2 linked regions of the Danio rerio genome follow. Each later gene encodes a partner of the first gene's protein in a complex. Links are inferred from orthologs where the notes say so. Each region holds a gene or a part of one and is shown on either strand. Other genes may lie near its edges.

Region 1 (3,830 bases):
AAAAGGCACTTCGTCAGATCGGAGCCCCTTAAAACACGCCAGTTATGTACAGAGACAGAAGCATTCTACTCCCACTAGATCCAATGGCAATACACGACACAGGTGTCTCGACGGCTTCAAATATTAGATGAGATTTGCATTAGAAATGGAGGCTAAAAATCTGCTTGTGAGTGTACATCAATGTTTTCACCGCATAGAGTCTGAGTATTCCAATGCTACTGTGTGATGACTCTATAAAACGGTTGATTTTTGTTTCTTTTTAGACGTGTTTACATGAATTTATCCCATTGAGTGGGATGACAAAACAGTTTACATATCAGTATTGTGGAATTCCTAAGCTAAATACAGTATGGTTTGACTACCTGATGCAAATATACAGCTGGATTGAAAAGAATGTTTCTATTTGTTTATGTTCAGATTTATTATAGGTGAATACTTATGTATTAAAATAGTTCTATATAAAGAAGCACACTAAAGGCCTATTATTGCATCTTTGTGAATGCCTTAAAATTGTGTATTTAAAATTACATAATAAAAAATCATGCAAGCACAAGAAATGTGTGGTTCCCAATAAGGTTACAGAAGATATTACAAGCTGATGAAATTACATTTAAAAAAAGTTTTAATGTTCAATAAAATTATAAAGGTCTGTCCTTGAACACTGTTCTTCCTATTATATACAGTAACTAGACTGAACTCTATTAAGCAGTGCAGCTGCTGAACCTCACTCAAGAAAATGAAGCATGACATTATTTCTGGACAACTCATCTTGAGAGCCAGAGTGATCAATAATCCAATAATCAATAATCTATCTGATATACGCCTGCATAATATTAGGGCTGGGTGATTTGGCCTAAAATTTAAATCTTGATAAATTGAACATTTGAACTCTATTTGGATTAATGAATGATTATTTTATTTATTTATTTTTATTTTTTTTGCCCTCATAGTTCACTGATAAGTTTTGTACAGTAAATATGCTCACATATTACAAGTGAGAGATTTGTGAATGAAGGGTGCATCACTTGATGATTTAAAAATAATTGAAGGAAACACAAACTATCTATGACTACTAATTGAACATCAACATTGAACAACTTAAATTAAGACACACATGCCTGAAACCAACAGTCACGAATAAATAACTTTCACTTTTGAAAACAAAATAAACGTTTTTTAGTGTTTTTCATATTGAAAGTAGAAAATAAGCAGTATCTCTTCTAAATAAAGTAACTCTTGTATATCCTGTAAATAATATTTAAGCATTTCCTGTGTCTTCTGTAAACAAATATTTTTAAATGTAAACAATAATTTCCTTATTGAATGTAGGTTCAAATTTTATTTATTCTTGTGATTAAAAACTGAATTTTCATCATCATTACTTGAGCTATCATTTTCAGAAATCATTATAATATAATGATTTGTTGTCCTACTATAGTCAATTATAATGATTCTTATAATTATCAGTGCTGACAAGATTTGACTGTGATACAACTCACTTTTAGGATTCTTTAATCAAAAAAAGTTCAAATGAATAGCCTTTTTTCATCATAAATTTATAATGTTAAAAAATTGTAAATCGTTATCATATGCGTATTTTCTTGTCCAGAGATTTTTTTTAACAGAAAGTTTGCATTTATTTGAAATAGAAATGTTTTGTGGTTGTTTTGTGATTACAAATCATTACAGTAAAAACACATCCAATATCTGACTGCATTTGAATAAAAGCAATAATTCTGTTTGGGTAAAGATTTTAAATTCGCAAATTCTGACTTTCTCCTTAATATAGTTTCAGACAAGTATTCTTTGCAAATTCTAAATAGGGAAATCTTATTAGCATACAATGGCTATTACAGTACAAAATTGTTCAGAGTCATTTAAATACTGCTAATGTTGTTTTGAAATCATACGTAAATGCGATTTCAGACCAAATATTCAAAGTGGTCACTGAAGAAATGTTCGATTATAAAACCAACATTACCTCAATAATAATTCTGTTAAATAAAACAACAGATTTTTTTGCACATTAGTATTACAAAGTAGTGCACTTTTTAATGAAACAGAAAAAGTTATGCCCAAGCACTTTGTGAGAAGTGAGTTGATTCTAAAGATTTAATAAACACCCACATATTCACTTACCACTGTTGTTTTTGGAGGAAGATGACGACTCTTTGTCTGGTTTGCTCTTTTTCTTCTTGGAGGATCCAGAGGCCTCAGAGGCTGCTGGTCTTTTCTCTACTGCAGGAGTTGACAAAGCTCTCTTTTTAAAGAGCTCTCGCTCTCTCAGCAGAGCTGGATCCATCCTGCACACATCATAACACATAGTTAAAATCATAAACACATAGTCTGACTGTTAAACGTAGTCAACAGTACAAATCCAAGTGAAGCGAATCCAAACCTTTCATACAAATTGTCCTAAAACTACTGAATTAGACCTTTCTTGTCTGTGAAAAACATTCTTGATACAATTCAAATGTTGACTACTCTATACAAATTGATATCTATTTTAGTCCATGCTAGCAATTCCATGCAACTGTCAACCCTGAATTAAATTAAGTTTTCACCAAAATACTGAAAACATTTCTAAGCTTTTTGTGCCAGCAAGTATTTTACAGTACTTTAGAAAAACTCAAAAATGTATCTGTCAATGTTTACAAACTATTTTATTTGATTTATCAAAGTCACACAAGTGGCAATTTCAAATCTGTCTCATCTAAAACGGAGAAATGTCACATCCATATCGACACTTTTTCCTCATAAATGTGAAAATATTAAATAAACTAAAATCTCTCATTTTTATTCTACAGAGAGCCAACTCTTATTCTTTTGATTATCATTATTTGTTTTGGGTTGTGCAGTTTAATTCACAGAATTTCTAAAGTATGTTGTATACTGTACAGACTTTTTTGGTCACATCCATAACCCGTTTATTTTCTTCATTTAAAGTACAAAACGTGTTTACAGATTGATATTTTTCTGCTTTCATAACTCTGTGGTCAGTTGTTCTGGAAAATATAAACGGATGTTTCGATATAATGGTAACATATACCTTCCACGTGAATGTATGTTTTGAGTGTTTTACTGCAAATGTCAGATCCAAAACGCTGAAATTGCTCATAAATGATGCTGACAATGTATTAAAAACAATCAAGGATCTGCTATACCACATATATCTTATGACAGGCTTAGCTTGTTTGTCTAGCATGATGAAAACCAAAAGGATAAATTCATGAACTATTGAAACCCAGTGGTTTATAGTGACAAATTACCAATACTCAAATTACTGCAATTGAGTAGTTTTTTTAAGAAATTGTAATTAACTTATTAGTTTTAAAAATGTGAACTTTTACTTTTCCTTGAGTACATTTTTAGCGCTGTATTGGTATTTTAACTCCACTACTTTTCTTCAAGCTGCAATAACTACTTTATTATTTCCTGTCTATGGAGATTAGAAAAATTAGCAGTGTGATTAATGTCTAATGCATACTGAACTACCTCAAGACATGAAGCAAACTGTTTAGAAGCATTAAAAGTGTCCAAGAATATACTCTGCATGCAATGACCCAGAGACTGCATATTTAGACTGCATGTCACTGATGAGATGATGACAGATGCCGAATGCATGATGACTGAAATGGCCTTAACCACTTAAACTCCAGTGCTATTTTGGGATTTCTGCCTGGATTTTGCCTACCCAAATTTAAAAGCTACCCAAATCCACATGCAGAGGTGTAAATGCAAAAATTTGGTGTCATTTTAAAGGAAACACTTTAAAAGTGTTTAAAATAACTGTAATAAATGTTTTCTGTGTTATAATAAACACCTAAAAA
Region 2 (4,616 bases), on another chromosome or scaffold:
TCATGTAGAGCAGGGGTGTCAAATTCAGTTACTGGAGGACCGCAGCACTGCAGTTTAGTTCCAACCCTGCTTCAACACATTTACCTGAAGGACTCAATTAGTTGGATCAGGTGTGTTTAATCAGAATTGGAACCACACTGTGCAGAGCTGCGGCCCTCCAGAAACAGAGTTCGACACGTGATGTAGAGCCACTGCTGAGCTACTCTTTGTTCCCATTCGACTTCATCTGGTTTCAAATTTGAACTTGAAACTGTACTACCAACATTTTAATAAAAGGAGACAATAAAAACAGAAAATGGAAAAAAAGAAAAACTAATCTAAATGAATAGGGAAATAATTACAGTATATACACAAACTAAGTATCATCACCACCACAGCAACAACTCTCAAATTTCCCATATTCACGGCAGAGGAATCAGCTCACAAGACCTAGAAGAATAAGAGACATGTTCAGACAAAAGCTTGATATCATCACCAGAAATTATTTAAAGAAGACTTAATTAAAACGTTCTGTTATCAATTTAATAAGTATAGTTTCAAGCTTAAATCGTAGAAAACATATACCCAGGTAGTCATCCATTAAAGATCCAATGGCAAACTAATAAAAAATAAATAAAAGGACAAAACAAGTCATTAAAAACTGTTAATAAACATTGAAAAAATGATTTATATCATCGACATATTCGAGAAAACTGGCATTTACTTACAATATCATTCTTGTCCACACGAGTTCCCACAATCTTCAGTCGAATTTCATCATCTTGTTGAATCACAACGTCCTGTTAAAAAAAAAAAATAAAAATTGTGTTTAAAACTGTTGAAAAAGAACAACTTTCAAAACAAAAAGCATTCAATCCTACCTCATCCACTGTCTTGTAGCATGGAGGATTTGAGTTTGGATCAAACTCCATCTCAGAGGGAATAGACTAGATTCACACACACAAAAAAAAACACACACACACAGATTTAAGACAATTACACATGTCTTTTACCAATACACGAATATATTTTACCATGAAAACCTACATGTCGAGAAATGAAACAAGACATGGGGCCAATTTCTGTAAAGAGTCCAACCTGGGAAAAAAAGAAATAAAAAATGCATTGAACACTGGAAAAATCTGTAGCAGAGAAAAATTAATGTTCAGTGTCATGTAGAGATTGAGCTTTCACTTTGTAAGACAAATGTATTGTCAGGAGCCGCAATTCGAGTGTTCATTTTGTTTTGCCAGTGCAGGCTTTTTTTTTACTCTTAGAAGTGCCGGTTAAACATGTGCCAGGTTCCCTGCAATATATCCTGATAATGAACAATCCTAAAATTGGTATCATGGACACTTCAAAATTACATTGAATTATTATTTCTGTATAGTATTAGAAAACATTTTAGTTTAAGCAGATTATTGTATCGGTAGTGGTGTCAATAACATGACAATTTAATAGACTATTTATTTGCAAGCAAACATTTTTTACATGAATCTGGCCAATGACATCGACTGAAAATGTTTAGATTATTTACAGACCTATTGTTCATTACCATTGGTTCAACTCGTTTCCTATTCTTTATTCCTAGGTTAAGTAAAATTCTTAACGAATAATAATTAACTAATAACATTCAGTTATATTGTTCAAGACTAACACTGACATTTAAAACAAATGAAATTGTTTAGTAAAGTGTTACCCATGGCACTTTGAAATACTTTTACAGTTTATTTTGCTAGGAAAATCTGTCAACTGTGAACATTTAAGTGCAATACACAAAATGTAGTGTTTATTTGTTATTAAAACTAATTTGTAACTGCTTAAGTCAATATTTTGAGAATGCCATAGATTGTGATAAAAGCTTCAGTAATTATCACAACTAGAAAATCTGATAACACCTTATGCCTATATAAAAGCTCTGAGGACCATTTGCCAAGGGTCTGAAACAAAGGTAATTATACTACAGGGCTTGATTTTGATTGGCTGGTGAAACTTAAGGTGTTCAATTATTTTTAAATAAGCACACTGCTTTCGCAGTTCCAGGCAGGTCTTGACTGCATTAGTTCCACATCACTACGATGAATGGTTACAGTTATTTCACATTTAAAAATCAAAACTAAAGGCTTTGGCTAAGATAATTATGACACTACATAAGTATTACACACGTGAGCTGTCTGAGGACAGAAATCTGAAAAATGTCTCGATTTAAATCATCTGACCTGAACATTTATGTCTAGTAACCATAGTATAAGCACAATAATAGTCTCCAGTTTATTGAACAATTAGAAAATAATAAAACATTATGTACACAACACCTTGTTTGAGCATTATTGTTTTAATAAGTATTAATTATCCCGTACTGATGTTCTATATAATGTATGTTTTATATTTATATTTTTGTAACTGTTGTATGAAAATAAAAACACAAACCGTACTTTGTTAACCTGAGTGACAACAGCATCCACAACTTCTCCTTTGAAGGGACGGAAGACGATGGCTTTGTATTTGACGGGATACAACACAAAACCTCTGCCCGGCTGTATAACCCCTGCTCCAATATTATCGATTGTGGTTACTGCAATAACAAAGCCATACCTGGGAAACAACACACGAGCATTAGAGAGTCAGATCTCATAACGTTCATTCATTTATTGATGAAGTAACGTTAACTTACTTTCCAGTACATGTTCCTTCAACCTCAGTGAACAGTTTCTGTTTGACTGTGTTCAAAAGGTTGGGTCCAAAATATCTTGGATGGAGGAGAATTTCATGCTCCAGAGAGATCTATTGTGACAAACAACGTGTAAACAACAGTGAGCACAGAAAACATTGACGGACATTTATAAGTGCTGCAACTCACTTATCACGTAAAACTAAAACACCCACTGACTTACGTGGTAAAACATCTCTTATTGTATTTTAGCTTCCAAAAGTCTTGAATTAAAACTCTACAGCCACGACTTTCTATGTCAGTGCGTTCAGGCGCCGAATCTCGACAGCGCGAGCACGCGAATGTTTCCGGGTGAAAACGACTGCAAATTAAAAGCCCTAAGATTCCCTAGAAATAAAGTCCCTGCTAGTTTAGTGTGCGTTGATTCTGGATTCAGAATTTTATTTTTATACAAATGTAGACACTTCAACTGTTTTTGTCTATAAGATTCCCTATTAAGGTAAGACACTGCAGATGAAAAATAAATGAATTCATATTTATTAGCAGCTACTTCACCAGATGAGTGATTATTACATTATGATTTTTAATGCTATGTGTGATATTTATTTATTTGCAGACATTTTACCTCGAAAATCAAAACCTTTGAAGTCAGGCCCAAAATGTATATTTCTTTCAAAACATTTTCTTTAAAAATGAGAATATGCAAGTTTTGAGTATGTGCTGCTTAAATGCTAATAGTAGGCTAAATGTTCAAAATATATTGGCTATTGGCGTGGACACAATAAAGCTTTTAAAAACCACACAGTAAATTCAGATATCTTGTTGTTCACATTTGCTTCTGTTTTAACTTTTAAGATTGTCACGTAACAAAAAAAATAAAAATAAAATAAACAGTTAATAACCCAACTTGCATGATTTTTTGCTATGACCCAATGTTGTATACGTTTTTAATGTCCTTAAATTTTAATAGCCATGCAAATAAAACATAATTAAATACATTTTAAAAGAATATAAATATTTGTAACATGCATTTTTTAATAATTTGAGATTTTTCAATCAAGCAAGCAACAAATGAATGAATGAATGAATGAATGAATATCAATAATGCAGAACTTATTTACAATAGAAAACATGTTCTTTTCCAAACTGAATGGTTGCCTATAGACCATTTTGAGGGATGTGAACAAAAACAATGGTCCCAACGTATTTCCTGTTTTACATTTCTATAGCTTCTAAGAATCTAAAAAGAGACACATATTAATAAATAATGTTATGATAGCTGTTTTAATATTAAGTTATGATTGAATTGCTTCTTGATACAGTTATAAAATAGTTTGATAACAAGCAGGAAATGTTCATGGGCCAAAGACATGACCACACTGAAATGGTCTATAACTAGTGAAATGAGATTCGAACGATTTTATTTGTGTTTTTAAAACATTGAACACACAGTGATATCAATTTCGATGTTGTCTTAAGATTATGGTAATTTAATTTGAACCAATAACCAGCAATAACATCATCGTTGTTTCCACTAAATCCGATTTTACTCAGTCAATTGTAAACGCACCACTTTGTTTGCTGACCCGTGTTCAGCGTTTACACACAGCCTGCAAAACAACACACGAACACAAGAGGTCACTATAACTCTAAACTTTTGCATTGTGAGGTCATCATTCCCCAGATATAGGAACTTGAAAGCATTTTCTAGATGAATATACGATTTTTAATTACTGAAGGTTTTTTATGTACACTCTGGCATATATTTTTGTATATTATTGTACATTTCTGTATTTGTTGTTTAAAAAAGCATTTTCTATCGAAGCAGCGAGTGATATTTGCACCAATATCTTACATTAAAGTTTTAGTGCTGTTGAATCCAAGTGACGAATAAAATGTCTATTTCTCAATAATCCAGAGGTATCTTGACAACTAGCAACTATGTAAACCTAAATTATATTATTGT

Evidence for each region.
Region 2: gtf2e2 (region 1) and polr2g share a complex: the UniProt entries of both Homo sapiens proteins name them as parts of the TBP-based Pol II pre-initiation complex. The link is inferred for Danio rerio from reciprocal best matches to the Homo sapiens genes GTF2E2 and POLR2G.

Annotation. Positions count from the first base shown.
Region 1 is NC_133176.1:24,437,716-24,441,545, reverse strand, and holds part of gtf2e2 (transcription initiation factor IIE subunit beta), read right to left. Parts: intron 2,304-3,830; 5' UTR 2,303-2,303; coding exon 2,140-2,302; intron 558-2,139; exon of another isoform or gene 1-557. UniProt on the Homo sapiens protein: Recruits TFIIH to the initiation complex and stimulates the RNA polymerase II C-terminal domain kinase and DNA-dependent ATPase activities of TFIIH. Both TFIIH and TFIIE are required for promoter clearance by RNA polymerase.
Region 2 is NC_133189.1:30,990,406-30,995,021, reverse strand, and holds the start of polr2g (DNA-directed RNA polymerase II subunit RPB7), read right to left. Parts: upstream 2,998-4,616; 5' UTR 2,886-2,997; coding exon 2,874-2,885; intron 2,764-2,873; coding exon 2,654-2,763; intron 2,575-2,653; coding exon 2,415-2,574; intron 1,078-2,414; coding exon 1,027-1,077; intron 927-1,026; coding exon 861-926; intron 780-860; coding exon 708-779; intron 599-707; coding exon 565-598; intron 430-564; coding exon 416-429; 3' UTR 1-415. UniProt on the Homo sapiens protein: Core component of RNA polymerase II (Pol II), a DNA-dependent RNA polymerase which synthesizes mRNA precursors and many functional non-coding RNAs using the four ribonucleoside triphosphates as substrates.